Linked DNA regions of Oryctolagus cuniculus. The protein of the gene in region 2 binds, or shares a complex with, the protein of the main gene of each other region. Links are inferred from orthologs where the notes say so. Each region holds a gene or a part of one and is shown on either strand. Other genes may lie near its edges.

What was found.
Region 1: the proteins of GALR1 (region 2) and GNAO1 are in contact, whole or in part, in a cryo-EM structure (PDB 7XJJ), measured with the Homo sapiens proteins. The link is inferred for Oryctolagus cuniculus from reciprocal best matches to the Homo sapiens genes GALR1 and GNAO1. Residues at the interface, in NP_001471.2 of Homo sapiens: Thr70, Arg133, Ala136, Ile137, Ser140, Arg141, His226, Leu227, Leu231, Asn233, Ser235, Lys236, Lys237, Ser238, Ala240, Ser241, Lys244, Thr245, Thr248, Leu306, Ser307, Glu308, Asn309; in NP_066268.1 of Homo sapiens: Ser264, Asn316, Glu318, Tyr320, Asp337, Asp341, Ile343, Ile344, Ala345, Asn347, Leu348, Arg349, Gly350, Cys351, Gly352, Leu353, Tyr354.
Region 3: the proteins of GALR1 (region 2) and GAL are in contact, whole or in part, in a cryo-EM structure (PDB 7WQ3), measured with the Homo sapiens proteins. The link is inferred for Oryctolagus cuniculus from reciprocal best matches to the Homo sapiens genes GALR1 and GAL. Residues at the interface, in NP_001471.2 of Homo sapiens: Glu32, Gln92, Thr94, Val95, Tyr96, Leu98, Pro99, Thr100, His112, Gln174, Phe177, Arg180, Gln184, Phe186, Cys187, Trp188, Glu189, Gln190, Ile266, His267, Ala270, Phe275, Leu277, Ser281, Phe282, Arg285; in NP_057057.2 of Homo sapiens: Gly33, Trp34, Leu36, Asn37, Ser38, Gly40, Tyr41, Leu42, Leu43, Gly44, Pro45, Val48.

What each region holds. Positions count from the first base shown.
Region 1 is NC_091449.1:40,129,642-40,138,824, forward strand, and holds the end of GNAO1 (guanine nucleotide-binding protein G(o) subunit alpha), read left to right. Parts: intron 1-231; coding exon 232-385; intron 386-3,103; coding exon 3,104-3,291; 3' UTR 3,292-3,319; intron 3,320-4,044; 3' UTR 4,045-5,181; downstream 5,182-9,183. Other genes in the region: E3 ubiquitin-protein ligase AMFR, read right to left, coding at 9,137-9,183. UniProt on the Homo sapiens protein: Guanine nucleotide-binding proteins (G proteins) function as transducers downstream of G protein-coupled receptors (GPCRs) in numerous signaling cascades.
Region 2 is NC_091441.1:2,134,899-2,145,262, reverse strand, and holds the start of GALR1 (galanin receptor type 1), read left to right. Parts: upstream 1-5,214; 5' UTR 5,215-5,845; coding exon 5,846-6,511; intron 6,512-10,364. UniProt on the Homo sapiens protein: Receptor for the hormone galanin. The activity of this receptor is mediated by G proteins that inhibit adenylate cyclase activity.
Region 3 is NC_091432.1:3,952,992-3,963,249, reverse strand, and holds GAL (galanin peptides), read left to right. Parts: upstream 1-4,086; 5' UTR 4,087-4,264; intron 4,265-4,341; coding exon 4,342-4,422; intron 4,423-4,596; coding exon 4,597-4,651; intron 4,652-6,044; coding exon 6,045-6,131; intron 6,132-6,395; coding exon 6,396-6,470; intron 6,471-7,079; coding exon of another isoform or gene 7,080-7,150; exon of another isoform or gene 7,151-7,262; intron 7,263-7,276; coding exon 7,277-7,347; 3' UTR 7,348-7,485; downstream 7,486-10,258. Other genes in the region: tesmin, read right to left, coding at 9,176-9,368. UniProt on the Homo sapiens protein: Endocrine hormone of the central and peripheral nervous systems that binds and activates the G protein-coupled receptors GALR1, GALR2, and GALR3.

The DNA.
Region 1 (9,183 bases), on a different chromosome or scaffold from region 2:
TGGGGGCTCTGGCACGGACCTGCTTTGGACAAGTTGCTCCGTGGTGCGTCCCGCACGGCAGGCTCCGGCCATCAGCCTCTTGAGGAGCCCGGGGCACAGGAGCCCCTCTTGAGCTGCCAAGTAGCCCAGTCCCTCTGTCTCGAACCTAACTCTCTTCTTCTCTTTCCCTGTCCCCGTGTCTCTCCCCCTGCTGTCTGTCTTGCTCTCTCTCCTCCCTGCCTGGGGCTGCAGAACCGCATGCACGAGTCCCTCATGCTCTTCGACTCCATCTGCAACAACAAGTTCTTCATCGATACCTCCATCATCCTCTTCCTCAACAAGAAAGATCTCTTTGGCGAGAAGATCAAGAAGTCACCTTTGACCATCTGCTTTCCTGAATACACAGGTGGGTGTCACGGTGGCCCCGTGCAGTGGGGGGCCCCTCCAAAAAAAAAAAACCGGGTTTCCCCCAGACGATGCAAACTGGAATCCCACAGCCTGTGGCCTCAGGAGCTGGGCCACCACTGCCTGGGCCAGCGCAGGCGCCTGGCAAGGGTGCAGCCCTTCCTAGGACATGGCCCTGAGTGGGGTGGGCAGTGGCTGCACCTGAGCCATTTACCCAGGAGTGGCATGGCAGGGACCATGGGCAGGACAGGCCCCCAGGAGTCCCTTTCTCTTTCTTCCTGGTCACCTTCTACAAGAGGTGCCGGGACCCAGCAGGGGCACCTCCCCAAACCTCACCAGTGGCTTCCCACTGCCTCCCCCCAAGTCTGTCATTGAACCACTCTGCATGCAGAGGAAAATGTGGGGACGTGGCCGGCATGTGGGGCCCGGGCTGCTGTGCAGGCTACACCTGCCCGCTCTGCCACCTGCCTGCATGCACTGCGCACACTGCGCCTCTGTGTGCAACAACCTGGCCCTGGCCCAGCAGCCCTCCCCCATCAGAGCTGCTGTGGGACGGAACTCCGGGAGGCCACAGCCCTGAGCCTCTGGGCATTGGGGAGCTCTAGGGGCCCTGGGTGGAGGTCCCTTTGCATGCTGAGAAGAGGGCCAGCACCCTGCAGTGGAGGGGTCGTGCCCCGCCCTGCCTCCAGGTGAAGGTAAGGTTGGTTCAGTCAGAAACCCGTCGTTGTCCCAAGCAAGACTAGAGCAGGGGCTCAGGTCCCAGGGCCACACACATCCCTGAACCCAACCAGAAGACACCCGATTCCAGCACAAGCCTTCTCCACTGCTGGGAAGAGTCCCGTGAAGAAGGTCCCTCACAGAGCCAGGCCCTGTCCTCCCTGGCATGCCATGCCGCCCATCCCACCGTGCAGGGGGGAAGTGGGGCCGGGGCCTGTGCCCTCTGCTCCCACGGGGTAGCCTGGAGTTGAGAGGTGAGTGCTGGGCGCAGTGGAGACCTAGAAAGGGGGACCTGGGCATGGAGGAGGCGCCCTCTGCAGGGCACAGCAGGTGCAGGAGGGCACGGCAGGCGGTGCCAGGCTGCAGCCCCCCACCCCCTACTGCAGGCAGTGCCAGGCTGCAGCCCCCCACCCCCTTGGCAGCCCCTGCTTCCCTTTCCCACCTCAGCCAAGGCCTTCCAATCCCCAGTCCTGAAAGCTGTGGCAGCGAGGCCTGATCTGGGACGTGGCCCGAGCAGTGAGGCCCCCAGAGGCTCCCAGCAGGTGCCCCCAGGGCCCGTCCTGCTGACTCGGAACGTCGGAGCTCTCCAGGGCCTGCCGAGGGTCCCGGTTGATTCAGACTGCATGATGGGTGGCACAGGGTCACCTTTGCCTGTGGCCAGGGGTGCAGGCCTGTGGGGGAGGAGGCTCGGTGGCCGCAGCAGGGCTGGGGCAGGGCGCAGGGCCATCCAGCTAGAGTCCCTGTGGGCACCTCGCTCTTCTTCCTTGGCTCTCTCCAGATAGGGTCTGCCTCCATCACTGTCCAGCCGCTGACAGCTGGGCCAAGGCTCAGTGACCAGGGGTGTCGCACCCCTCTCCTCACCCTCCTGCAGAGGAAAGGGACGTGCAGGCGCCTTCCAGCGGCCAAGCGCCACTGTCCCTGGGCCCACGGGGCTGGGCGGGGTGGGGGAGGGGCGGCCCCACCCCTGCAGTCACTTCGCATCATTTAATTCCTGGGCGAAGTCCTGGCAGTGCAGAGGTCCAGGGGGCATCTTCCGGGCAGTGCACCGTCCTGCGCTCCAGCCGTAGCCCGTGCCCTGTGGTCTTTCCATGAAAGCTGTGCAGAGCCACAAGGCTTCGGGTTGTAGCTGACGGGCCACCCACAGAGCTGCCAGGGGCTGTGGGGAGCCCAGATGGCATCATACACACCAATAGCCCCAACATTCCACATCCCGGCCACTCACCCAAGAACTGGGGCTGCTTAGAGATGCCGCCGACCTCAGCAAGTGCCCTGTGGTTGGAAGAACGCACTGAGGAAGGAGCCCGGGGCCCATGCGTGCTCACCCCCTGCCAGGCAGCTTCCCATGAGGTTTTATTGTCTTGGTTCCTTAGAATCAGCAGGATTGGACTGGACCACAGGGAGGCGCCTCAGTTAACTCACCCAGAAAGCAAGAGGCAGGGTCTGTGGCCGCTGGCTTCCAAGGCTCCCGGGAAGATGGCTCGCGGAAGCCCAGGGAATGAGAAGGCAAACCAGGCAAATGCTAGGACTTCAGCAGTTTTCCTTTTCCTTTCTTTCTTTGTCTTTTTAAGATTTATTTATTTGAAAGAGTTAAAGACAGGAAGAGAGAGAGAGAAATCGCCCATCAGGTAGTTCACTCCCCAGATGGCCATACTGGCCAGGGCTGGGCTAGGCTGAAGCCAGGAGCCAGGAGCTTCGTCTGGGTCTTCCATGTGGGTGGCAGGGGCCCAGGCGCCAGCAGGGAGCCAGATGGGAACTGGAGCAACCAGAATGTGTACCAGTGCCCACAGGGGAGGCCAGCGTCACAGGCAGCAGCCCAACCTGCTGCGCCACAACGCCGGCCCCTTCCGCTGAGAACGCGGCCACACGGTGGACAGCGAATGCCCAGCAAGCCGCACTGTCCCCGACAGGACAGGCCACCGCCTACCCCTCTCCCGTCGGTCCTCAGACCCCCCGCCCTCAGCTCTCACCAGGGCCCGACCCGTTCTTCTGTGTCTTGTTTCAGGCCCCAATACCTATGAAGATGCAGCTGCCTACATCCAAGCACAATTTGAAAGCAAAAACCGCTCGCCCAACAAAGAGATCTACTGTCACATGACTTGTGCCACGGACACGAATAATATCCAGGTGGTATTCGACGCCGTCACCGACATCATCATTGCCAACAACCTCCGGGGCTGCGGCTTGTACTGACCTCTTGTCCTGTATAGCAACCTATTTGGTAATGATCCCAGCACTCACAGAAACGCTTGCGTGCGCACTCACACACACTCACACGCACACACACCCCCCACTGACAAATGCAAGTTGGTAAATAAACGTTCCAGAGGCGACACAAAACCTTATATATGTATATATAGACGAGTATATATTCAAAAGCTTTTCAGTTTGTTCTAGAAAGAGCCGCGGACAGAACTGACCACCTTCCCCCAGCCCCTGGAGGTCTTCCAGGGCCACACTCACGCTCACACTCACACACGCGCGTCGTGACGGGAGCCTGCAGCGGGCGGCTCGGGGTGGGGGGCTCCCCGCTAACACCCACTTCCGTGACCGAGCGGGGTGGGGGGAAGGGGCTCCGCGGGCCACCGCCCCCTCCCCCAAACCGCAGGCTGCGTGCTGTCCGTTCTGTCCGGCTCTTGTGCGAACTCCAAAACCCTCTCCGCCCGCCCGCTGTCCCCAGCCCCAGCGCAGCGCGAGGACACGTCTCTCTGGGGGAGCGGCGCTCCGCCTCGTCCTCGTCCGCGCGCTCTGCGGGTGCGGGGCCGAGGGGAGGGCCAGGCCTGCAGTGCGCGGCGCCGGGGTCGGGGGTCGGGGGTCGGGGGTCGCCGGGCCCCGGATGCTCGCGGCGCCGCCCCGGCCCGGCCCGGCCCGGCCTGGCCGCCGTTTTGGTTGGTGGTCTTCACGGACAGCACGGTCAGACGGGCCCCCTTGTCTCTCTCTCCACAGACTGCTTCACGGACTCTTTGCTGTTGACGTTGACCTCCTGGTAGCATGACCTTTTGGCCTTTGTAAGACACAGCCTTTCTGTACCAAGCCCCTGTCTAACCTCCGACCCCAGAGTGACTGACGGCTGTGTATTTCTGTAGAATGCTGTAGAATCCGGTTTTAGTTGAGTCTTTACATTTAGAATTTGAAAGGAAAAAAACATTTCTCATGTGCTTTGTAGCGTTAAAAAAAAAAAAAGACGAAAAGGAAAACTCACCATTTCATCCAATTTCTTTGTCGTTTCACATCAGCATCCACATCTGCCCCCACGGCCCCCCCACCCCCGGCCCTCCTCGAGGCAGGGTCCCCGCGCCCCCGCCGAGGGGCGCCCCCGCGCACGTCCGGCCGCAGGCCCCGCTGCCCCACACCGCTCCAGGTCTGATAGAAAAAGCACAGCTCTCACTGGCCAGTAGCTGCCAAAAAGCATCCCCGTGGCGTGGCGCACGGAGAGGACAGCCCTGTGGGAAACGCCCTTCCCCGCAGAGCCCCTCGGGGGCTTCGTTTTCGTTTCTGTCCCGCACGGGCGCCCATCGGCCTCGGCGCGGCTGTCCCTCGGCGACCGCCCCCTGCCCCAGCCCCAGCCCCTGCCCCTGCCCCTGCCCTCCCCTCGGCTCGGTGAGCCGCGGCCGCTTTCTCACGTGGGCATGTCTGTGCTGCAGATAACAAAGAACAAAAAGATCATCTTTAAAGACCACCAGATGGAAAGAAAACCCCAAAAATAAATTTACACACAAAAACAAAACCAAGATGGAATGTAGCGTCTACACGGAAGCACCACCTCCCCGAGCAGCCCCTGTCAGACCCACCCCTCTCACAGTTCCACTTGTAAGACTCCATCTTTGCTGAAGACCAGTCACAGCCATTTCAAATAAAGAGGAGGCACGAAGACAAAACACACACAAAAATTAAAAATACAGGAAAAAAAAACTTGAAAAAAAAGGAAAAAAGAAAAAAAAAAATAACAACCAGCCCACGGGTCTTTCTAAGCCTTTCTATTCCCGCCCGGTGAGGTTTCTGTGATTATCTGCCACACTGCCAGTCTACTTCTCTGACAATGGAAACCCCTGTGTCGCTCAATAAAGAGAATGTTTGTCTGTACCCTGTGTCCCCTCTGCCTTCACATGGTGGGCTGAGGGGGGAGGGCTGCCCCGGGGGGGGGGGGGAGAGGGGCAGGCAGGGGCTCCCAGCTCCGCCTCACCTTGGGTAGAGCAGGGCTCAAGATGAGAAAGGCAGAATGGGGGGGGGGGGGGGCGTGGCAGGCATCCCCAATCTCCTGCCAATACAGGATCCGATCCCGCTGCATCTGGGCCCAGGGGTGCCACCGTGGGAAACGGCGATCCCGAGGATGGGAGCACATTGCCTGGGCCCCGTGCACACAGGGGCCACACCTGCGAGCCGGCCAGGAAGCGATCCTTTGGCTTTGCTTCCTGCTGCACCGAGCAGGCCCAGTGTGAGGACAGACGAGGACAGATGGCACACGGAGTCTGAGCCGTCTCTGGGCAGCCAGTCTCACCCTCTCGCTCCCACGTAGCTGCACTCTGCAGCCCACTGTTCCATCTTGAGGGACAGTCTCCCAGGGGGCTGCCCACCGGAATCCTCTCCACACCCCGCACATGCCAGTGATCTGCCCAGAAAGCAACGCTGAAGAACCAGCCCTGGGCGAGGACACGAGTCTGCAGCCAGTCCTGGCCATCACTGCTGAGGCGAGTTCCGGTGGCCTTTTCATCGGGGAGTGGTGGTGGGGGCTGACCTAGGATACCAGTGCCTCTCCGGCCCCCAGGTCGACTTCCTAACAGGGGTCGTGGGGGACAAACCAAGGCCCACCGGGAGGATGAGGGGCACCATGACATTGGCCATCCGTGGCCTGTCCAAATTCCCTAAAGAGGAGCCAAACTGGGCTCTCGCCCAACTCTCAAATTAGTTTTGTCAATAAAACCGAGAGTTCTTGCCTTCTTATCTTTCTTAAAAGGAGGTCAGCATTTTTAACGGATGAAGGGAAAAGACCAACTAAACTAGATCACGGAGAGGGGACAGAGCGCCCGGGACTCCACTCCACAGTGCAGCCGGGGCCAGAACCACTCACTTCTAGGCTGAGAGCAGGAGCCGAGTATCCCAGAGACTGCAGTGACGCAGCCTTGTAGGGGCGGCGTTCTTGGCCAGCTCCGCAAGCTTCCGACTCCCTTCTGCATGCACACCCCGCGTCCTTTCCCGGGCAGATGGTCTGCGGGCTGCAGTGAGAGCAGTCTACAGCTCCAAGAGCCTGCCTGAACACACCAAGTAAGCCATCCACGTGGGCCATCATTCTCCCTGACCCATAAAAGCCTCCACATTTGTTAAAAACACAAAACTCAAGCAAGTGGCTGAGAACCCAAGAGGTCAGAGGGAGTAACAGCCGCTCCCACGGCCAGGCAGGGCAAGGGCACAGAAAGCCCACGTGCCACGGCCCAGCGGTACAGCCTGTGTTCCATGGCAACATCGGGCACAAAAGCAAGCTGCCCACCCTTGCAGCAGCGGAGATGGCCAAGGGGGACTGGGCCGGGAAGCCCACCCACTCTCTGCCCTCAGCACCTATCCCAGGGGCCTCCAAATGACAAAAGCCAGGGGCCGGTGGTAGCAGCTAGAATCTTTAACTGTCTAGATGCACAATTTAGGGGTGAACTTGGGGCTTGTCGGTCACTGTAGGCTAAGTAAAGCATTCTCCCTGCTCTGGTCACTGCCACGCTGTGATAGTCCAGTGATCCCAGGCCCTCTATCAATTTCCTCTTTCCACTTCATAAACCTGAGAAACTGGAGTTAGTGTCATCTCTAATGGGTATGCAACCTGCAAAGTAAAACAGACTCGGAGAAAGCAAAGTAGCCGCCTCCTCCATACTTACCTTGAAAATAAATAAATAAATGTGGGGCCGGCGCTGTGGTGTGGTGGGCAAAGCCTACTCCTGCAGTGCCGGCATCCCACATGGGCACTGGTTCGAGTCCCAGCTGCTCCACTTCTGATTCAGCTCTCTGCTATGGCCTGGGAAAGCAGTGGAAGATGGCCCAAATGTTTCAGCCCCCACACTCGTGTGGGAGACCCGGAGGAAGCTCCTGGCTCCAGCCTTTTTTTTTTTTTTTTTTTTGACAGGCAGAGTGGACAGTGAGAGAGACAGACAGAGAGAAAGGTCTTCCTTTGCTGTTGGTTCACCCTCCAATGGCCACCGCGGCCGGCGCACCGCGCTGATCCAAAGGCAGGAGCCAGGTGCTTCTCCTGGTCTCCCATGGGGTGCAGGGCCCAAGCACTTGGGCCATCCTCCACTGCACTCCCTGGCCACAGCAGAGAGCTGGCCTGGAAGAGGGGCAACCGGGACAGAATCCGGCACCCCGACCGGGACTAGAACCTGGTGTGCCGGTGCCACAAGGCAGAGGATTAGCCTAGTGCTGGCTCCAGCTTTGACCTAGCCCAGCCCGTGGCCATTTGGGGAGTAAACCAGCAGATGGAAGACCTGTCTCTCCCTGTAACTCTGCCTCTCAAATAAATAAATTTTTTTTAAATGAAATACTAGTATGAGGAGAAGAAAAATCCTGTCTGCCTTCTCCAACATACTGGAGAAAGCAAAACCCCCCCAGCCAAAATGGTCCCCACAAAATCAGAGTTAATGTCCACCCCCCTGAAAGCAGCTGCCTCAACTCCCAGCGATACACAACACACTAAAAGTTTGCTTTTTATTATTATTATTGTTTTACAATGAAAACAAATAGCTATGCTCTCAGCAAAACAAAACAAATTTTAAAAATCACAGAGGTTTACTAACAGCATTTCAAAGTAAGGCTTTTCAAAGATTTATTGAAATAAATTACTTCTGCCTAAATATTTGTCTACCACCCTTTTTTCAATTACTTGTCAACATTCTAAAAACTTCCAGTTATGTAAAATACATTTAACTTTGCCAATAATTTTAGATAATACTGGGATTCTTCCCAAAAGGACTACCATAAAACTATGTTTCAAACATTAAAAAAAATTAATCCAATGGGACATAAAACTGAACTATGTAACCTATGATTGCGTGTTTCAAATCCCAAAAGTTAACTGCGTGAGGAATTTGAAGACTCAGGACCTGGGTCTGCTCCAAGGCATGTGGATTCAACCTGTTAGCTTCCTAGGTCTGGCGGACAGCCACGGCCGGGGATACACACAAGGTATCTATCTCTCAGTTCTTCCCTAAAGCCCTGCCCAGTGCACTCCCCACTCCCCCACCTGGCTCGGCCCACCTCTTTTCCGAAGACCAAACCCACAGGCTTTGGCACTGCCCGATGGGCCTGACCGAGGGGTTAAAACCATAAACCAAAGCTGGCTGCCACCCCCTTCCCCGTGTCCACAGGGCCAGGGAACGCGGAGGGGACGGGGGACACGGGTACACTCAGGACCTGCAGGAGCACCAGAGTTAACGGAAATAAAGCCAGCCGTGACCTGGGGCTCACACAGTCCCGATGTGGCGGGAGGGAAGGGCGTCGCCTTCTCACACTCTGCAGCCCCAAGCTTGCCCCTCCTCTGCTCCGGGCAGCAGACCACGGCCTTTCCCAAGATGCCCTGCTGGCCCCGAGGGTCCGGGAGCCCCCTAGTCTGGCCTCTGACACCTCCTCTGCCTCCTCAGGTGTGACAGCAGGTGGCGGCGGTGGCGGCGGTGCGGAGCCAGGCTCGGCGGTGCCTCTGCTCGCTGCTGGCGATGCGCCCTCCCAGAGCACACAGCCTCCTGCCAGATGTGGCGCTAAGGACGCAGTATCTGCCGCTGGCGGGCGCCTGCCCACTTCCTCCTGATCGCTCCCCACCCCAACAAGTCAACGCCTACAGTGAAAATGTGCAGTGCTTTTAAGGGGAAGAGAATATCACATAGAAAGTATTACAGAGAAGAATTAAATCTGTCAGCCGTCCACACACTAGAAGACCACATGCTCTGTACAGCGGCAACGAGTCGGGCCCGCGGCGTCACACGGCAGCAGCACTGGGCAGCCTCTTCCGGCTGGGCGCAGGGCGCGGGGCTCAGGCGGCGGCGGCGGCCGAGGAGGGGCGGCGGCGCTAGGACGTCTGCTGCTTCTGCAGTCTGCGCTCGGCGGCGGCCGCCA
Region 2 (10,364 bases):
GTGTCACTGTGCGGGCTTTAGCCCTTGGCTTGTCCAGTGGTGATAATAATGCCCACTGCGTAGGCTGCTGTGAGGATTCAGTGGTGTGCACATAGAGTGAGGCACTCCAGAAATCCTTCCACATTGTGGCTAACCACGCCGTTGACTTGGTGAATGCTGGCGCACTGCTGTTACCACACCCTCACATCTGGGGAGTGGTCCCTGCTGGATCAGAGAGCAGAGACGGGAGCAGGCCGTGCAGTGGGTGAACGAAGGTGATACTAGTTGCCGTGTGATACTAGTTACCGTGTGGTACTGGTTACCGTGTGTTGTATATTCTCTTCTAGACATTTCCTTTTGATACTATAGCCTGTGCATCATTAGAACTTAGGTATAGGACAGGAATCTTGGGCAATCCACAGCTCCTCCCCCCACCCCTCCCCCACCCCCCGCCTCTCCAGGATGTCCCTGAGGGCCAGGGAGGCCCTTGATGTGAGCGGATGGATGCAGAGGCTATGCACCCAGCAGAGCTCCCAGGGCTCCAGCAGTGGGTACGGGGTCAGAGCCTCACCTGAAAACCAGGGCCTCAGCGGGGCAGGGAGGGGGGACGGAGGCCTGGGGAAGCCCCTCTGCTGGAGCCAGCTGAGGACACGCCCTGGCGCCAGGGAGAAGGGCCGCGGGGAGGGGAGGCTATGATAGGGTCACCCTGAGTGTTCCCTGCAGAGACTCGAACTCCTTAAGACTGGGGTGCAGGCCCACCACACCCTGGACGCCTGGTGACCCTGCTGAGAGAGTGAGGACAGAGTGGGTGCAGGCCCACCACACCCTGGACGCCTGGTGACCCTGCTGAGAGAGTGAGGACAGAGTGGGTGCAGGCCCACCACACCCTGGACGCCTGGTGACCCTGCTGAGAGAGTGAGGACAGAGTGGGTGCAGGCCCACCACACCCTGGACGTCTGGTGATCCTGCTGTGATAAGCGAGGGCAGAGTTTTCCACGACTTGGGAACGAGCCAGGCCTCAGAAAGGAGAGGAGGCCGAGCTGGGGCCTGCCTGGTGAGTGCAGGGTCCCCTGTGGTGTGCAAGGCGAAATGCCGGTTAGGCAGGCGATGCCGTGTCCCAGGGGAAGGGTCACAGAGAGCCTGGGATGTGGGCACATGGAGCCTCCTGGCTGGGGCAGCAGGGAGTGGGCAGCCAGGAAGCCACAGTACTGCAGAGGGCAGGAGGCTGGCCAGGGCCGGGAGCTCCTGTCTAGATAGAAACTGCAGCAGAGTGGTACCCCTGCCTCACCCCTGCCTCTCCTCTGCCTCACCCCTGCCTCACCTCTGCCTCACTCTTGCCCACCCGGCCTCACACCCCCACCTCTGCCTCATCCTTGCCCACCCTGCCTCACACCTCCCTTTACTCCTATCTCACCCTTGTGTCACCCGTCCTTTTCCCTTCCTCACCTCTGCTCATCCCTGCCTTTATCTTTGCCTCACCCCTGCCTTCATCCTTCCCTCACCCCACTTCACCTCTGCCTCACCCCTGCCTCACCCATCTCACCCTGACTCACCCCACGTTGTCACCTCTGCCTCACCCCTGCCTTACCCCCGCCTCACCCCACGTTGTCACTCCTGCTTCACCCCTGCCTTACCCCCACATCACCCCACGCTGTCACCCCTGCCTCACCCCTGCCTTACCCCTGCCTCACCCCACGGTGTCACTCCTGCTTCACCCCTGCCTTACCCCCGCATCACCCCACGTTGTCACCCCTGCCTCACCCCTGCCTTACCCCCGCCTCACCCCACGCTGTCACCCCTGCCTCACCCCCGCCTCACACTGTGCTCCAACACCAACAGCCACAGTCCTGTCCTGGGCTCTGCAGCCCAAGCCCCTGCGTGCCTCAAGGAGTGGCCGCTGACCCCACAGGACGAGCACCGTGCATCCCTGTGGGAGCAGCCGCTGTGCCCCAGGTGCCCTGCGACGGGGATTCATGAACACTGGGCACCAGAGACGGGGCCTGGCCTTCATCTTCCATGAAACGTGTTGTGTTCTCTCTCTGGAGATGTTTCTCTGCGTCTTCCATTCCTGATACATTGATCACATAGCGCTAATCCCATTAAAAAGCGGTTTTCTGTCCGTTTTATGGACTCCGCACAGGAAAGCCTTGCTCAGTGTAAAAATAAGGCAACCCGAGTGCATAACCAAGAAATTCCTGGCATCCAAAAATGATGCCGGAGCCCAAAGTCACCGGGTTATCCAGGCCACGGCCGCAGGGCACTCCTGACAGACTCACCGTGGCCGCGGGACTTGCTGGGATAGGAAAGCGGCTTCAGTAATTACAGCGCTGCTGAGACCCACGAAGGCGTGGCGGCGCCGGCGGCGCGGTGGCTGGGGATCCTGCCTGCTCCCACCCAGCGGCTGCTCCTCGTAGCAGAGGCCTCTCACCGGGTAGACCAGGAGTCTGGGCTAGGGAGAGGACAGCTTCTGCCCGTGAAGACTTGGAAGGCGTGTTCAAGCTTGCCTGTTCCCACAATGCCTGTAGGCTTGCCTAGCAGCACCAGGCTGAGCAGCACAGCTCACCTGAACCCGCAACGGGGAGCAGGACATCTGGGGGTCACTTAGCACGTCAGCGCTGGCTTTCTAATTTCATAGGGAAAGATGGCTTTGGGGCTTAACCTGGAGACTTCAAACTCAGACCCTGTTACAAAGCCAGGGCCCAGAGGGGCTCTCCCATCGCTGTGCGTCAGCGGTGAAACTCCCCAGCCAAACGAACGTACCCGGCAGGTTCTGCAGCGCAGGTTCCCCCAGCCGAGACCTGTGTCAGGAGAAGCAGCCCCTCTGGGGTGTGCAGTCCTGTGCTAAAGGAAGGGGACCCACGGTTTGACCTTCAGCTCTGTGACCGCACAGCAAATGCACCCCGTTTCCTTGGCCAAAGCCTGGAGGGCGTGGGTGTTTCTCATTCCCGGCCCTGAGAGGAACAGAGAGCTGAGCCAGATCACAGCGTCTTCCAACAGGGAGAGCAGCAAATGGCTGGAGCAGAAAGTTCCAGAACACTCCGGCAGCCTCAGAGGCAGCTGGGAGAGGAAGGTAGCTCTGGGCACTGGGGCCCAGGTCCCCTCTGTCGTGCGGGGTTTGCAGTCTGGCTGCACCTCTGGGTTCCGAGTGTCAGATGCAGACGTTCCCTGTAGCACGCCCAGAGTTGGCCCCACGGGGAAACGGCAGACGCAAACGAAAACAGTTTTGCAGGACTGCGCTCTTCTCTTGATTCTCACTAATGTGCTTTGGCCAAGTAGAAATCTAAAGGACAGCATTTTTACAAAACCGGAAGCAAGTCACAAGAACAGGAGCTCGGTTGAAACAATTTAAGCATAATTAGGCTCCAAGGAGCTCATAATTAATTTTTATTTCTTTATTTGCATTTTATTTGGAAGGCAGAGAGACGACAGAAACAGAGCTCTCCATTCACTCTTCCAAATAGCTACAAGGGTCGGGGTGGGGGCAGCCTGAGGCCGGGAGGTCTGGAATTCCTTCTGCGTCTCCCACGTGGGCAGCATGTTCCCAGAACTTCCAGTCAGGCTAAGATCATTCTTTATATTGCTTCTCCTCCTGTGGTGGGAGAAGGGAGGAGACAGAGCGAGAGAGTGAACAAGAGAGCACACAGCGTAGAAAACAGAGCACAGAACAAAATGCTGAAAGTCAATCCAGAAACCCATACAGAGTAGCAATATCAATAAGTAGAAGTGTGTGAAATTCACCCGTGTGAAAACTAGAGATTGCTGGCTGGATTCTCAAGTAATTTGGTCCTGTGTTCCTTTGAAGCGGTGCCCTGCATCACAGGGCATGGAAGTGACAGGCACTGTCCGTGCATCTACAGTGCCACGACAGCCTCACAGGCCAGACCAGAACAAAACTTGTCACGTCACTGAGCACAGCACACTGAGACAAAGAACAAGCAGCCAACCACTCAGACCCACCAGTCTGTCTAAGAGCCTGTGTGTATGCCACGAATGCATGAAGCAGCAGCAGGTGTGTGACCCCTGAGACCGCCTGGAGATGGCTGAGGGGACGGGAGGTGGAGAAAAGTGACCTCAGTTCTACTGGTCATCGTTTACTCCTCTAAGCTAGGTGGTGGGCCTGCGGGTATTTGATATGATTCCAACATACCTGTTCCATGCCAGAAACGGTTCATATAAATCTTTCCCTGTGCCACACGACGTGACTTTCCGTGCAGCAGAGCCGTCCAACACCTGGCACCAGGCAAGGCAGGGACCCAAAACAGCCCTGACAGGCAGCCCCACTTCCGGAGTTTTTTCAGGTGTCCTTCGGGGCGGGGCAGGTGAGGGCACTGCAATGAGCAGGCCTATCCAGTTTGTCCCCTGGAAAACGTGCGTCAGCAGTGCCAGACCCTTTGCAGGTCCGGCGTGGGACCACAGCGTTGGGGGAGCTGCAGCAGCCTTCCCAGTGCCAGGGAGAACGGCGCGGCAGAGCTGCAGACAGCTCGGGCACTGCACAGACCCCCGCGGGCCCCAGGGCTCCCCGGATCTAAGCCCTAAATCTGCCTCCCGCAGTGCGGCGCCCCCTCCCCTTTGCGCTGTCCCTGCTCTCGGGCCGCGCGTGGTGCCCGCTGTGGCGGCGGAGTCATCATCAGGAGAATGCACTGTGGTGTGTTTGAAAGATGCACACACACGACGCAAACATCACAGAAAGTCAATTTCCGCTCTTCAGCTGGGAACCTCCGGGATGACAAACCCACGTTCGCCAGCGCAACTGTGCCTGGCTCCATCCCTGCCGTGTGTCCAGCTTGCAGCAGGCAGGGACAGGACGTGCGCACGGTTCGGTCAGCGCCCAGAGGAGGAACGCAAGGCCTGGAGTTGGAACGCTAAACCTTCCTCCCAATGCTTTCTTCTCCCTGCTGTTGGCGGGGGAGGTTGGGGGCGCTTGGGGTTTGTATCGGCGGGCAGGAAGTGCCAGCTGCCCGCTGCCCGGGAGACACTGAGCGATGAGGCAGCCTGCGCGCCCCAGCGCCTCCCCGTCCAGCGCGCCCTGGAGCGCGCTCCGCGGCCCTCGCCAGGAGCCGGGGCCGCATCCTGCAGCCGCTACCATCCTCAGACCCCAGCAGACCCGCACCCAGTGCAGGCGCGCGCGCGCGGGTTGTAGCAAGGAGGTGGGCGGCGACCCTTCCTGTTAGGATTCGCCGTCTCCGCTCGCACGCCGACTTCCGGGGGTACGCAGGGGGCCCCCAGGGGGCGCAGATTAAAGCCGGGTTAAGTCTTCGCCGCTCCCACCCGGCCCTGCCCACCACTAGGGAGCTCAGAAAGCGCTCTCGCCCTGTGCGCTACTTGGAATCCCAGCAAGACCTGCGAGGGAGTCGGAGGCGCACGCAGCTGGGGAGGTGGCGCCGAGCGCACGGGAAGCGCCGCGAACCCTCTCCGCGAGCCCCACCCTTGGTGCGCTGCGCTCCCGGCCCTGCCCCGGGTGCGCTTTGGGGAGGAGCGGCTCTGGGCAACAGGTGCAGCCGGAGCCGGTCGGCAGCACGGGTCTGGAGCCGCTAAGGCGCCGAGAGGACTTTCACCTGCAGGGCTGCAGCCGGCGGGTCCCGGGGTCGGCGGCCGCGCGGCGGTCGTAGACGCGGGGCCAGGAAGACGCCTGTGCTCCCCGCCGGACAAGAGCCAGCTCCGCGCCCCCGCGCCGGCTGTCCAACGCCCGGCACGAAGACTGCGCTGCCAGGCGCGGCTGCCCCGCCGCGGCGCCCGCTCTCCTGCGCATCGGCGGAGGCTCCGGTGGAAACTCGCGCGCTGGCACTCGGGGCGGGACCCCCGGCGCCGGCTGCCCGTGGCAGACAGCCTGCCCCGCCACCCCGCGTCCCGGGCGCCCCCGCGGGCCATGGAGCTGGCTGCAGGGAACCTCAGCGAGGGTAACGCGAGCTGGCCCGAGCCGCCCGCCGCCGAGCCCCGGCCGCTGCTGGGCGTCGGCGTGGAGAACTTGGTCACGCTGGTGGTGTTCGGCCTCATCTTCGCGCTGGGCGTGCTGGGCAACAGCCTGGTGATCACGGTGCTGGCGCGCAGCGCGCCGGGCAAGGCGCGCAGCACCACCAACCTGTTCATCCTCAACCTGAGTATCGCCGACCTGGCCTACCTGCTCTTCTGCATCCCCTTCCAGGCCACCGTGTACGCGCTGCCCACCTGGGTGCTGGGCGCCTTCATCTGCAAGTTCATCCACTTCTTCTTCACCGTCTCCATGCTGGTCAGCATCTTCACGCTGGCCGCGATGTCGGTGGACCGCTACGTGGCCATCGTGCACTCCCGGCGCTCCTCTTCCCTGAGGGTGTCCCGCAACGCGCTGCTGGGCGTGGGCCTCATCTGGGCGCTGTCCATCGCCATGGCCTCGCCCGTGGCGTACCACCAGCGCCTCTTCCACCGCGGCGCCGCCAACCTGACCTTCTGCTGGGAGCACTGGCCCGACCCGCGCCACAAGAAGGCGTACGTGGTGTGCACCTTCGTCTTCGGCTACCTGCTGCCGCTGCTGCTCATCTGCTTCTGCTACGCCAAGGTGGGGCGCGCGGGACCGAGGGCGCGGGGCCGGGGGTGCCCCGGGAGTCGCGTTGTGTCCGCAGCCCCCGCCCGCGGGCCCGCGCGGCCTGGCGGTGTCCGGCGGACGCCGCTCTGCCTTTGCCTCTGCGGGCGCCCTAGCGTTGGAGGCGGCGCAAGGGTTCGCGGAGTTTGCGGTGCTGGGGAAGTTCGCGGGTCGCCAGTTGACTCCGGGAGGGACGTTCCCCGTTCTCGAGCCCTAGGCCCCCGCGGCCCTGGGAGTCCGAGCGCAGCCCGCGCGGCCGGCGAGAGAGCCGCTCTGGTGGCGCAACTGGGATGCGGGAGCAGCCGGTGCCACTGAGCGCGGCGCTGCTGGGCGCGGGGTCCATCGGAGCGCGTCGGGCCCGCCGCCCCCTCCCTGTGCTGGTTGCGCTGGGTAGAGAGGGGGCGCCCGCCGGGAGCTCCCTCCAGGACCGGCTCTGGGAAGCCGCTGCTCCTGGGAGAACGGAGCTTTGCGGTAGTCAGCCCCGGTGGGAAGACGGCATTTCCTGTGGTCCCCGGGGCCGCGTAGAACCCCTGCCTTCCGCGTTTCCACAGCTGAATCCCCGACCCTGGGGGGAGGCTCCCGGGAACACAGCGCCCTCGGCCGCGCCTTAGCCCGCGCCCCAGCTGCTGGAAGGCAGTTCTCCTTTCCCTCCGCTTACTCAGAGGACCTGAGGACTTCTGCATTGACCTGTGACACGACCGGTCCATGTCTGCGTCAAGAGGCATGTGTGTTGAGTGAGGATGGTGTTTGTGGGGTGCACGCCAGTGTGCACACACAGCCCCCCTATACCCTCAGCGCTAGACAGACAGCTCCCCAAATTCTGAAATTTCTGCCCACGCTCCGCCCTGTCGGTCTGGCCCCCTGTTTCTGGGAAGGCTGAGGCGACAGGACCCTGAACAGCACAGGGGGCGGAAGGAAGACGCTGGCTTAGAATCGGTTCCCAGGGCATTCTCCCCCCCCCCCCCCCCAAAAAAAAAAAAACCCTCTCGCCATAAGCCTGCTGGTGTTGTTCCTCCTCTCTGTGCCATCCAGGTGGGCTACGTCTCCTGCGAGTGGCAGTGTTTTTTGATGTCACCCGAAGGTTCTGTGAACAGATGTGCTGGGGAGGTAGGGGATTCAGAAATGGCCCCTAGCCTGGCCGTTGGGAGAAGGCTGACTCATTCATGAGTCTGGGAATGCAACCCAGAGGCTGGTCCCCCAGCGCAGCTGTCCCTGTGTGCCGTCTCACTCGCCTCGCACACCCCGTGGGTGCCGGCTGCTGTCCCCTCCGCAGTGACGAGAGGAGTGGAGGCCCCGGGGGCCAAGCTGGAGATGGTTCCGGAAGGCTTTTCAGCAGGGGTGCCCAGGGGCATGGAGGAGGGGCAGACAGTGGGGGCCTTGTGGGCATGGAGCTTGAGACCAGGGGGACACTTAAAATGCTGCCTTCCGGGTTCCTAGCTTCCTGCCTTAGACCCAAAGCGAGCGCTTCCCTCACTCCCCCAGAGGCCTGGGGGAACTTGCTCAAATCCTGCTGGTGGAAGTGACAGGGTCAATCTTCAGGGCTAAACTGGCCATCTTGCTGTTGTTTGAGAGCTTGTAAAACTCGGAGGGCAGAGTTTAAAAAACGTTTTTAAATACTCAGTCATTTGCAGATTTTCTCTGGAAATTGCTTGCTTCTAAGTGGAAAAGCCTTCTGAATTTGAAGTAGTATTTGCAAGCCCCTTCCAGGGCAGTGTGAACAGGTGGAGGTGTGTGGCCTGCAGTGCTCCCTTGGGTCAGCCGGTGGTGCTTAGCACCTGCGGATCTCGTTCTTGAGGGGCAGGTTCGGGCCTGGCTGAAAGGGGTTGCTTCCAGAGGTGCTCTGTGCTCCCCAGACCCTGCTGGTTTCCAGTGGAACAGCTCCGGCACCTGTCAGTCATGGGAGCGTCCAGAACACGTGACTAGAGGACAAATGCCGGCGACCAGCGCAGTACCCCCTGGGGCGCCCACTGCTGCTGTGGGGCTGGCCTTGGGAGCATCCTGCTCCCAGTAACTGCTGCCCACCCCACCAAGATGCTCCACACCCCCAGGGTGTGCCCGGCATGGCCCTGGGGGTGGGTTTGACCAGGCCCCTCCCTGTGTGTGGAGTGAGTGAGGTCTGTGGCCACACCTTCAGCCCTGCCTTCTTCTTCTTCTTTTTAAAGATTTATTATCTGAAGGTCAGAGTTACACACAGAGAGAAGGAGAGGCAGGAGAGAGAGAGAGAGAGAGAGAGAGAGAGAGAGAGAGAGAGAGAGAGAAGCCAGGAGCCAGGAGCCTCCTCCAGGTCTCCCACATGGGTGCAGGGGCCTAAGAACTTAGGCCATCTTCTGCTCTCCCAGGCCACAGCAGAGAGCTGGACTGGAAGTGGAGCAGCTGGGACTCGAACCAGTGCCCATATGGGATGCTGGCACTGCAGGCACTGGCTTTACCCGCCGCGCTACAGCACCGGCCCCGGCACTGCCTTTTAGAGAGCACCATCATCACCCCTGGGGGGACCCCCCCCAATTGGGATGCACCACGCACAGCGGTGTGTGCAGAGTGCGGGCACACATTGAGGGGAACAGCCATGGAGAATGCGCTGGAGTATTTCCTCCACTGACCGTTTGCCACGTCTGGTGTTCTCGGATGCTCTGGGGTTACTCAGCTGTGACCCAGGTTAGTTTGTTGAAAGAATAAACTCTTTTCTTCCCGTTTGAAATGCTTTCCTATTTGCTCCTGCAAAATCTCTCTTGTGCCACGTGCCTTCCTTTCAGTTTTTGGTACCCTGATTATTCCTGCTGGAACGGTGGCCTCGTCCCCTGCCAGTGCACTGAGGGTTATCCACGCGCCCCCGTGGGGAGTGAAGGGCTGTGCTGCCATAGCTGGTGCATGGCCGTGTCAGGAAGTGAGGGAGAGGGTCTGAAATCAGAACCCGTGCCACAGGGACGGCCACTTACCCGCTGCAGGGCCTGGAAGTCTGGCGAGCACACGCTGTGGTTTCTCCACTGGAGCACGACGGCTGCGTCCTGCTGGACGGGGCAGGACCTTCAGGGAGTGCAGGCCGCAGGGCCACAGGGAGACCGAGGAGTGCCAGGAACGTGTGTCCCGCTTCTCGAGAGACTCTCAGTAGTGTGGTATCCACGCTCTAGGGCATCAGATGCTATTTTTTTTCCTAAATTTCCTCTCAGTTGGGAGGTAAAAGTCAGCTCAGGCACGAGTTCCCGATTGGTGCTGTTGGATATCAGGTTTGTGTTGGGAAGTCGTACATACAAGCAACAGTTCTCACGCCGTTGCTCCTGAAACACACTGCAGGGACAGAGAGCTGCTTTCTGTACCAGAGAAGCCTCAAAGTACTCACGGACAGGGACATAGTTGTAGAACCTTGCAGAACAGTGGATTAATCCTCGGTGATGTCGAATGCCTGAAATGTGGGTTGTGTCACGATACGGCGTGCTGGGTAGGCTTGGAGCAAGGGAGGAAAGCAGGCCGGGGCCGGCAGTGTGCCTGCAGGGGGTTGGCCATGGGGACAGGCATGCAGGGAGGGCAGAGGAGGGGCTACCGAATGAGGAGTGGCCTGAGTGTGGGCTCTTCCTTGTTCACCTCTGCTTTCCCCGGGGGTGGTGAACTGGATGGAAGGTGTCTAGTGTTTCAGTGTGTGTGGGATCCAGCATTGTGCCTGACATCTCGTGGGGACCTGTTGAGAGTTACTCGTGGATTCCGGGAGTCACCACGGCAGAGGCAGACAGGTGTGTGCCTGCCTGGGCCCCGGTGGGGGTGGCTCTCAAGGAACACATCCCAGGGCCGCAGGCGCCAGGACCCCCCACGCTGCAAAGTGCATCTGGGTGTGCGT
Region 3 (10,258 bases), on a different chromosome or scaffold from region 2:
GTTTTCCGGGTTGGTTTCCTGGGTCCATCCGTCAGTCCATACCCATGGCACCACTGGCCGGCGAGCTCCCGGGGCCGGCTGGGCAGGGTGGAGGCTGACCTGCCCCCGCAGGGCAGGACCTGGGAAGAGGCAGCGGCCACTTGGTCATGGGGGGCGGGCTCAGCTGGGCAGAGCTCCTGTCCGGCAGTGGAGACCACTGGGTTCACCAGCTGGGCCGGGCGGAAGCTGAAACCACCCCCCACCCCCAAGCCGGGGTCGGAGACCAAAAGGCTTCCGGTTAAGCCGAGGAGCAGGGTGTGGGTGGGTCACACCTCCAGCCGGGGCATCTGGGAGCACCTGGCTGCAGGCCACACTCCTTGGTGATGACTGGGTCCCCTGCGCTGCCACCCGCCTCCCACGGCCCCAGGTCCCTCGCCAGATGGACTCCCATATGGCCTGTGGGTGCTGCCACCGCTCCTGCTGGGGGCCAGGAAACAGGTGCCTCTGCCCAGGCCTGCAGCTGAGTCACTGGCCCGCGCCCCCCGGCTCTCCCTGCCGCAGGCCATCCGCCCCGGCCATCAGGCAAGGCCAGCCCTGCCAACTTCCAGAAACCGCCAACTGGTGGATCCCCGCCCCTGGCCAGGCAGGTGCCCGGCAGGACCCTGGGAAGTGCAGACGGGGGGACAGAGGTGGACTCAGAGCCGGGCAGCGGAGGGGCGGAGCGGGTGGTTTGGGGGACAGAAGACGGTGTGGGGAGAGGGCCCAGGTTCTGCAAGTTCCGTCTAAATGCATTTCACAAATCCGAGTGAGGACGACCACTGGCCTCTCAGACCCGCTGACAGGGCTCCGAGCTGGCCCTGTGCATGGGGGACTGGAGCAGGGGGCTCTCGGGGCACAGCCAGCCGGACATCACGTCAAGGGCATGAGCACCTGTGGGGTGACTCCGTGCCTCTGTCCCCAGCAGCCATCACCTGGTGGCCCATGGCAGTTGCTCACTTCCAGCCCTCATGTCCACATTCCAGGCAGCAGGAAGGAAGGAAAATGGACGGAACAGGGGGCCTCCCAGCGTGCCCTCCCCGCACTGGGCGTGTGCTGGGCCCCGTGGTTCCCCCAGCCAAGCCTGAGTCCATCCTCCTCCCTTCGGGATAGCCGGGGATAGCTGTGTGCGTGTGCGTGTGTGTGCACCTGCGTGTGTGTGCGTGCGTGCGTGCCTGTGTGCATGTGTGTGTGTGTGTCTCCACTGGGTGCCCATCCTACCAGGCGCTAATTTCATGGCCGGGGGTGTGAGGAGGAGCTCCCGCGGGGCGAGGCACCCTGGCTGTAGGAGCTCCGGAGCGGAGCTGGGCAGCGCGTGGGGCCGGGTGGGCCGAGGCTCTCTGCCGGCCGTCCATTACGGTAATGCTGGGCCATTTTGCTGGCCACACACTGGGCTGTCTCGGCGATCACGGTTGACAGCCACTCCCCTCGGGTCGCTGCCGGGCGAGGAGCCCATTAGTGGCCTGGCTGTGGGTTCCAGCACAGCTGGAGCCAGGAAGCAGGTGCGGGCGCCCCGGCTGGGCTGTCCTGGTTTGTCTGTCGGGGGTCATCGCAGGTCCTAAGCGCCCGCCGGCTCCGAGATCTGGCGTCCGGTTGCCCAGGCTCGGGGAGCGGTGCTGGCTGGGGGTGGGTCGCCCCGAGCAGCCGGCGTGTTCCCTGGAGGATGGGTCTCTGCTCAGCGGACACAGCGCCTCAGGTGGCTCCATCGCGCAGTTACTCACGGAGACACGCGGGGGACATGGCCAGACTGGGTCCTGTTTAAACTTGTATTTGTGTATTTATTTTGCGAGGCAGTGAGACAGACAGGGGGAGAGAGGGAGAGAGACAGAGAGACAGAGACAGAGAGAGACAGAGACGGGGGGCTCCCACTGCTGGTTTGCCCCCAAATGCTTGCAACAGCCAGGGCTGGGGTAGGCAGCAGCCAGGAGCCGGGAGCCAGGAGGGGGCAGGGACCCAAGTACTTGCGGCAGGGGGCTGGGTTTGGGCTCCTGATTTGGGGTGCGGGCGTCCCAGCTGGGGTCTCAGTGGCCAGCCCACGCCCACCCAGGCCCTGTGCTCTGTCTGGCTCCCCTGTCAGTCATGGCCCGGCCCGCCTCTGTGCACCCATGGAAGGTGGGGCCCTGTTGCCCAGAAATGCTTGGGGGCCGGCACCGCTCACCTCCCAGAGTGGAGGCCAAGCCGCAGCGTTCGGCCCTGGCCAGCTTGTGGCCGGATTTTCCTGGGAGGCTGCGGGAGAGCAGCTGGGCTCCCTGCACCTGCTGGCCCGGCGCCAGAGGCCCTGGACCCCATGGGAGCCTTGTGACCCCGCCCACTGCCCAGGGCCCCGCCTTCCAGCCCCTCTGGGGATTCATGGGTTCATGGTCAGCCCGGCTTGGGGGAGGGGCACATGGTGGGGCCGACGCTGGCCAGGGCGCACTGTGGCATTACCAAGGTCGTGGCATTTCAAAGGTAGCCCCGGTGGACAAGGCCGCGGACACCGCCCCTGCCCCCTGCCCCGCTGGTGATGTCCCTCTGGCCTCCACGGTTCAAGCCTGCCAGGGCCACAGCCTCTCCCTCCCTCTCGCTCCCACCGCAGGCTGCACGTGGGACACCCTCACCCTCACCCCAGGATGGCCAAGTCTGGTCCAAGACCCCTCCCTGGGCCCAGTCACCCCCAGCACCCCACCCACAAGCCAGAGCAGGCGTCGGCCCCAGCGCCTGTTCTCCCTGGCCGCCAGCTGGCCGTGGCCAGGTCCCCGAGTGTCCCAGGGGTCCTTCCCCGTCCCATTGGGAGCCCATGGCTCTCCCTTGCCCCCCCTTGGTGGGCTGCGCAAAGGCTCTTGGGAATGGAATGTGGGAGACGTGGTGATGGCCTCAGCGGCCATCAGTGGCCCTGTGCTGTCCACCCCGGGTGCCCAGTGACATCACCGATTGGAGCTCAGCTCAGGGGGTGCAGCGGCCGAGACCTCCTGCTGGGAGCTCTGGATGAATGACGGGCAATGTGGGTGGTGCCCTGGGCTGTGCTGTCCCCGGGACTGGGGGTGGGAGGGCGGGGGGGGGTTGCCCCTGTGTGGGGGTCTGCACCTGCCAGCCCGCCCCTGCCCCCGCCAGCCTCTGGGAGTCCCAGCTGGACTGCAGCAGTGAGGACCCACCGCTGTGGCCAAGAGACCCCCGCTGCCGCCCCTTCAGCTGGGCTCGGGGCTCCGGACAGGGCCGGTGGAGCGCAGGCCCCCCCACTGGGCCTAGCCGGGACTGCGGTGGTCCCTAACCGCGGCTGCCCTCTTGTGGTCGTGTCCCTCCTCTGCACGCCTTCCCCTCAGGCCGGCTGGTGGGGCTGGGGGCTCTGGCTAGGAGCCAAGGCGGGGTGAGGGCGGCGATGACCTGGGCCGGGAGTGGGGTGGGGCTCTCCCGGGGGTTGGGGTCTCTCCCATAGGGATGTGGGTCTCTCCCGCGGGGGTGGAGGGTCTCTCCCGCGAGGGTGGGGGTCTCTCGCGGGATAGGGGGGTCTCTTCTACGGGGGTGGGGGTCTCTCCCATAGGGATGTGGGTCTCTCCCGCGGAGGTGGGGGTTTCTCCTGCGGGAAAGGTGATCTCTCCCGCGGGATGGGCGGGTCCCTCGGGTCCCTCCCGCGGGGGTGGAGGGGTCTCTCCCACGAGGGTGCGGATCTCTCCCAGGATGGGGGTCTCTTCCGCGGGATAGGGGGAGTCTCCTATGGGGGTGGGGGTCTCTCCCGCGGGGGTGGAGGGTCTCTCCCGCGGGAGTGGGGGTTCTCTCTCCCGGGGGTGGGGGTCTGTCGCGGGAAGGGGGTCTCTTCCGCGGGATAGGGGGAGTCTCTCCTATGGGGGTGGGGGTCTCTCCCGCGGGATGGGGGGTCTCTCGCACGGGGGTGGAAGGGGTCTCTCCCGCGGGAAGACCCTATCGCGGACGTGGGGGGCCTGCCTTTGCCCCCCCACAATACAGGCCCCCGGCGCTGCCCGCAGGGATGGAGTTCCGGTCACTCCGCCCCCGGGCTGGTGGGGGCGCTGGGCGGTGCTGGGCCCCGTGACGCGGCCGCGCGGCCCCGGGAGGCGCAGATAAATAGCGGCGGCGGCAGCCCCGCAGGACACGTCGAGGGAGCCCGGCCGCCCGCTGCCCGCTGCCCTCTCGGCGACCCGCCGCGCCATGCGCTGAGCGCCCTGCCGGACCCGCCTGGACGCCAGGACCCAGCCCGGACCCGCTCGGACCCGGCCAGACCCGCCCGCCCCGCGACGTCCCGGGACAGTCCCGCAAGGTGCGCGCCCCGCCCCGGCCCCGGCCGTCCCCCGCGGCCCCCGAGCCCTGCCCGACGCCCCTGCCCTCCCTCCGCAGATGGCCCGGGCCGGCGCCCCGCTGCTCGTCTGCCTCCTGCTCGCCGCCGCCCTGCCGGCCCCGCGGGCGCTCGCGCTGCCGGTGAGTCGGGGATGGGCGCGCGGGGCGTGGTGGGCGGTGTGAGCCGCGGTCCCGCAGCCTTGGACAGCGCGGGGCGCCCTGGAGCCGCGGCCGGGGCCGTGGACCCCCACGCGCGTCCGCGGCGGTCCCTGTGCTGCGCCCCCAGGCCTCTGACCCCCTCCTCTCTCTTTCCAGGCAAAGGAGAAGAGAGGCTGGACCCTGAACAGCGCCGGCTACCTGCTCGGCCCACGTGAGCGACCAAGGCCCCGCCCACCCAGCCCTCATCACTTGCTGTCCCAGCTCTGGGCAGGCCCCGGGGGGTGGGGTGGGAGGCAGTTTCAGTCCCTCCCAGCCTGGGCGGCCTCTCACCTTTGCCTGACCCTCCCTCCCAGCAGGTGGGCGACACCCAGGAGGGAGGCGGGACCTGCAGACCCCCTCTGCCTGGCCTCTGGGACCTCAATCCCTTGTGCACCTGACTCTCGTCCCCCACCCTGCAGCTGGGCAGCCCTTGAGGGCGTCTCGCCGGGCTCCCCGGTTCCACCGAGGCTGCCTCCGTCCCACCCTGCCCCCCGAAACCTCCCCTGGGGTCCCCAGAGGCCTCCACAGTGCTCTGCACGTGTGACCCCAGCACCTCTTCCTTCCAGAGGCTTCTTCCGTGCCTGCTCTGCCCTGACCCTGGGCATCCCCCCCGCCAGGCTCTGCAGCCCCGTCCTGGGCCCTGGCTTCCGCAGCCGCTGGTGGCTCCCACGGCACAGGCGCGCCCTCTGGGCTCTGCCCTCGTCCCCGGCTCCAAGCTGCACGTGGGAATTGACATGTGACCCACTGCAGGTGGCCGGGCCCACTTGTCTGGCTCCAGACTACACGGGGATGGTTCTCTTCCTGTTCAGACCTGTCCCCACCCCCTCCTACGCGGGCCAGTCCCACGGGCGCCGCGAGGACCCCTCTTGCTCTGAGGATGGAGGCACTGTCGGATGGCTAATGCCTAAGCAGGGAGGGAGGCCTCAACAGGACGCTGAGGGTGGGGCGTCCCCCTGGTGTGGCTGACCTAAGAGGAGGCCGGGTGGGCACCCCCCGACCCCACGCCTCCTGCGTCCCTAGCCTCCTCTGCCGGGAGAGGTTGGCCAGGCTGCAGCCGTGGGCACCTGCTGTGCTGGGAGTCGCCCCTCCGTTATGTCCTCACGCAGAGGGGACGTCACAGAGCCCGGGGCCCCCTCTTCTGGCTCTCCTGCATTGGGCTCCTAAGTGGGGCCGGGGGGTGGCCGACAGTGGGGAGACTGCACGAGGGTGCAGGGAGCACCTCTCCGGGCGCTGCAGGCTGCCGGCCCCTCCCCTGGCCCCTGTGCAGTCAGATCCCAGTGTTCTGCGGGCAGGCAGCGGGAGACCTGGCTCCTCGCCCTCTCCCACTTGCTGCCCCTCCACGGCCCCCTCTCTCCAGCCCCACCCATCTGCAGTCTGGGCACGTGCACGCCGATGCTGCAAACAGCCCGTGTGCCTGTGGCCCTGGCACGTGCAGCCGGGCCGGTCACCCTCCCTCCTGGGGCCTGGCCCCGGCTTTATTTTGCAGTGCAGATGTGCATGCGTCTTGGGGCTTGGGGGGGGGGGAGCTGGCAGTGGTCAGACACCTGCCTCTGATCTGCCGACAGACGCCATCGACAACCACAGGTCCTTCCATGACAAGCAAGGCCTCGCTGGCAAGCGGGAGCTCCAGCCCGAGGACCAGCTAAGGCCAGGTGAGGAGGCCCCTGCCCGGGCACCCGCACCCCGCCTCCCCTCCAGCCACAGCCTGAGCCTGACCTGGCCCGCGCCTTGCCCGCAGCCCTCTGGCTCCGCTCCAGCTGTCCACAGGGCCGCAGCACGGACAGCAGGGAGGCCCCGGGCGGAGTGGGGCCTGGAACCCCCTCCCCAGGCTGCATGAGTGAGCCTGGGCCCCTGGGCTCAGGTCCGGGCAGCGTCATGAGACCGCGGGCTTACGGGCGCTCTTGCCTGCTCTGCAGGGAGCTGGGACGGGGCCCCGCCCGAGAGCGTCGCGCGCACCATCATCGAGTTTCTGACTTTCTTGAGGCTCAAAGGTGCGTGAAATGGCGGCCGGAAACGCCTGCGGAACCCCACCGGGGAGCGGCTCACCCCCCGCCCAAGTCCTGGCCAGCACTGCCACCAGGGAGGAGCAGGGGCCTCGGGCCGGTGTCCTGGGCCATCGCTTGTAGGGCAGCTTCTTGGGGGCCTCCCTTGCCTGCTGTGTAAGCGTGGCAGATGCAGGGCCCCTGGGGCAGCCGCCCGCACGCCTCGCGGGAAGGCTGGGTCCCGCCTGGCCTGGATGGCGGTCACAGAGCTGCTGGGGGGGCAGGGCCGAGGGAAGGGGGCCGCAGCCCTGGGAGGCGGGCCGCGGTGGGGGCCTCTGTCTCCGGCAGTGTGGACGGCACCGTTTGCTGTCCAGCTTGGAAGAGTTGAGGCGGTTCTTGGGCTTCCTCCGTGGGGCTGAGTGCCCAGGCCACGTGGCTGAAGGGCATCAGGCGGGGCTGGACACCACGCCTGCCCGGCCCCCGGGCTGTCTGGGCAGGGAGCCTAGGGGGGACAGGACAGCATGGTGGTGTTGACCTGCCCCTGCCCGAGCCCCGAGGGGTGCAGGGGCTCAGCCCGTCTGTTTTGTTGCCCCCTTTGCAACACGAGCACTCCTCCAGGTGACAAGGTCATTGTTTGTAACACTCCCTCGACACGACTTGAAAGGCGGACGGCTTCAGACCTGCGCTGACCATGGGGTGAAGCCCACAGAGGCGGGCAGTCCAGACTTTGCACCTGACCCTGGAAGCCCCCGGGAGGGCCCTGCGCAGCCCTCCCCAGGCCGGCTGCTGAGGCGGGGTTGGCTCTTTTGTTGCAGAGGCGGGGGCCCTGGACAGCCTGGCCGACCTCCCCGTGGCTGGGTCGCCGGAGGACGCCGGGCAGCCCTGACCAGCCGCTGTTCCGGGCGGCCATCTGTGCGGAGACCGGGGCGGGGGCCGTGCCTGCTCTCCCCGCCTCACTCTGCTGTCGTAATTTAAGATTTTGGGACAATTATTTTGAGTGGCAAAATAAAAAATAGCAACTGGCCACAGTGGTCCTGCTCTGTCCGGTCGCCGCTGCGCCGGGGGTGGGGGTGGGGGATTGGGTTTCGGTTCGGAGCCACGCCCCCACCGCAGAGGGTCTGCGACACCGCCTGCGCTCGCCAGGGGGCGCTGCGCTAGCTCCTGGGTCCACACCAGCAGGAAGGTGGAGACGGACCCAGGAGTGGGGGGACTGGCGGGGGCGGTCCTCCCGTGGCCAGAAGGCTGGCAAGGGGCAGATCTGATGGCTGTGGGGAGTGGCAGACCCCGGTCCTCTGAGCAGAAATTTTAAGATCATTCCAGAAGATTAGAGAGAGAACAGGCGAGGGGGAGGAGCCGGGCAGGCTTCGGTCCAGTTAACGGTGCTGCAGCTTCCCCACCGGTCAGACTGGGAGGTGGGGCAGGGCCTTCCCTGGGGGAGGTCTTCCCTGGGGGGAGCCTTCCCTGGGCGGGGTGGGCTCTGCAGAGGCGTGGCTCCCAGCTGACTGCAGGGCCACACTTGGCCCCCCGCTGCCCTCTCTTCCCCTGGCCACGCCGCGGGAGCCCCAGGCTGGAGTACCTGTGTCCGCACTCCCAGCTCGGGGTGGTCTACCCCGGGGCCCACCCTCGCACCTGGCTCCCCCACCACACTCACTTTGTCTCTTTAATTCTCCCACTTGACCAGGCAGCGGCGACCCGAGGCCTGGGTCAGAATAGCTGCCGGGCCCCGGCGCAGGCATCTAAGTTCCCGGGCCACTGCTCCAGGCCAGGGACACACAGTGGCCACTTGGCCTCCATTTAGCCTTGCCCCCAGCTCCCATCCTGCAGCCAGGGCCACCCGTCCCTGTCCCCAGCCCCTGGGTCACGGCCACCTGCAGGTGCTGCCGGGCTCGGCTGGCACAGTGCCCTCGGCAGTGCCGTCAGGGGCAGGCGGTCACAGACACGCTGCTCCCTGCTCCGCGTGGCTTGTCCCAGCGAGGCCGACACGCCACGAGAACATTCCTTCACCACTCCGGGGGTGCTGTGCAGGTGAGCTCCCGTCCAAGCTCACTGTCACACTGAAGACACCTGCTTGCGTTCTACGACACAGCCAGGCTCAGCCTCAGAACCAGCCGTCCCGCTGGCTCCTGCAGACTGGAGGTGATATTTCAGCGAGGACGACGGGGAAGTTAATCGGGTAATAGGACTTTTCCACAACTCAGATACAAACACGTAAGAGACTGGACAGAGCTCTAACCCCTGCAGCGCCCGACACCGCTGACCCAAGCCCAGTCTCCCGCAGTGGGCGACTCTCTCCAGGCTGTGGGGCAGCCCAGCTGGGGCATTCATTTCTAAATAATTTAAAAAACAAACAAAAACCAAAAAGCGCCCAAGGCAGCCCCGGGGAGGCAGCTCCCCAAGGGTGGAGGGTGAAGGCGGGTCCTCCTCCTCCCCTCCCTTGGGGCCCTCCCCAGGGCCTGCGCCGGCTGCCTCACCCGTGGGGACAGTGCTCCCAGGACCACGGCCCCTCCTTCTCTGGCCCAGACAAGCAGTGCTTATGTCGCCCACTTGGTCAAAAAGACAGGTCCTGGCCCACACAGCCGCCATCGAGCTCTGACAAACCTCCGGCCCACGGGGCAGCATTAGGGCAGGTTTTGGGCTCCCAGCTGTGGCCACAGTCCCGGATCTTCCACGTCCCGAGACAACACTGACGGGCACACACCTGCCTCTGCGGTGCTCTACTCCATCTTCAGCCCCTTGGACTTGAACTCAATGTGCAGGATCTGTGATAAGCAGCGTCCGAATTCCTCCAAGACCAGCTGCTCCGCCAGGCACTGGGAGCGTTGCTCCTTCTCGGCCTCTTCCCCCTGAGCCAGCAGGCAGGCGCACGTGGCCTCCACCACCTCCCAGGAGATGCAGGACGCCGGCCGCCTGTGGGGAGCAGGGTGGTCAGGGCCAGCTCGGGGCGCGAGGTTCCCCAGCCCTCTGTGCGCCACTGAGCAGGGGCGTGAGCGTCTGGGCCCTGGCCAAGGCCCACGCAGCCACCTCGTCCTTCTGCCAAGGCAACCGCAGGCAGGACTGGGAACTCAGTAGGTCTGGGGCCGGCGCTGTGGTGCAGGAGGTCATCGCCTGGCACCCCAGATGGGCACCGGTCTGAGTCCCGGCTGCTCTACTTCCCATCCAGCTCCCTGCTGTGGTCCGGGAAAGCAGAGGAAGATGCCCAAGTGCTGGCGGCCCTGCACCCGTGTGGGGGACCCAGGTGAAGCCCCCAGCTTTGGGTCGGCTCAGCTCCTGCCGTTGTGGCCATTTGGGGAGTGAACCAGAGGACGGAAGATTCTCACTCTCTGCCTTTGTTTTTCTGCCTTTCTCTGTAACTCTGCCTTTCAAATTTTTTAAAAAAGATTTTATTTATTCATTTGAGAAGCAGAGTTACAGAGAGAGAGAGGGAGGGACGGAGAGAAAGGTCTTCCACCCACTGGTTCCCTCCCCAAGTGGATGCAACAGCCAGAGCAGGGCCAATCCAAAGCCAGCAGCCAGGAGCTTCTTCTGGGTGCAAACAGGTGCAGGTGTCCCAGCCCGTGGGGCATCCTCTGCTGCTTTCCCAGGCCATTAGCAGGGAGCTGGATAAGAAGAGGGGCAGTGGGGACACGAACTGGCACCTGTCTGGGATGCCGGTGCCAAAGGCAGAGGCTTAGCCTACTACGCCACGGTACCAGCCACAATAAATAAATTAAAAAAAAAAAAAAAGAAAGAAATTCAGTAAATCTGTAGCAGGCTGATTTCTAAGTTGTAAGGCCTGCGGGTGGCGCTCTAACTACCCA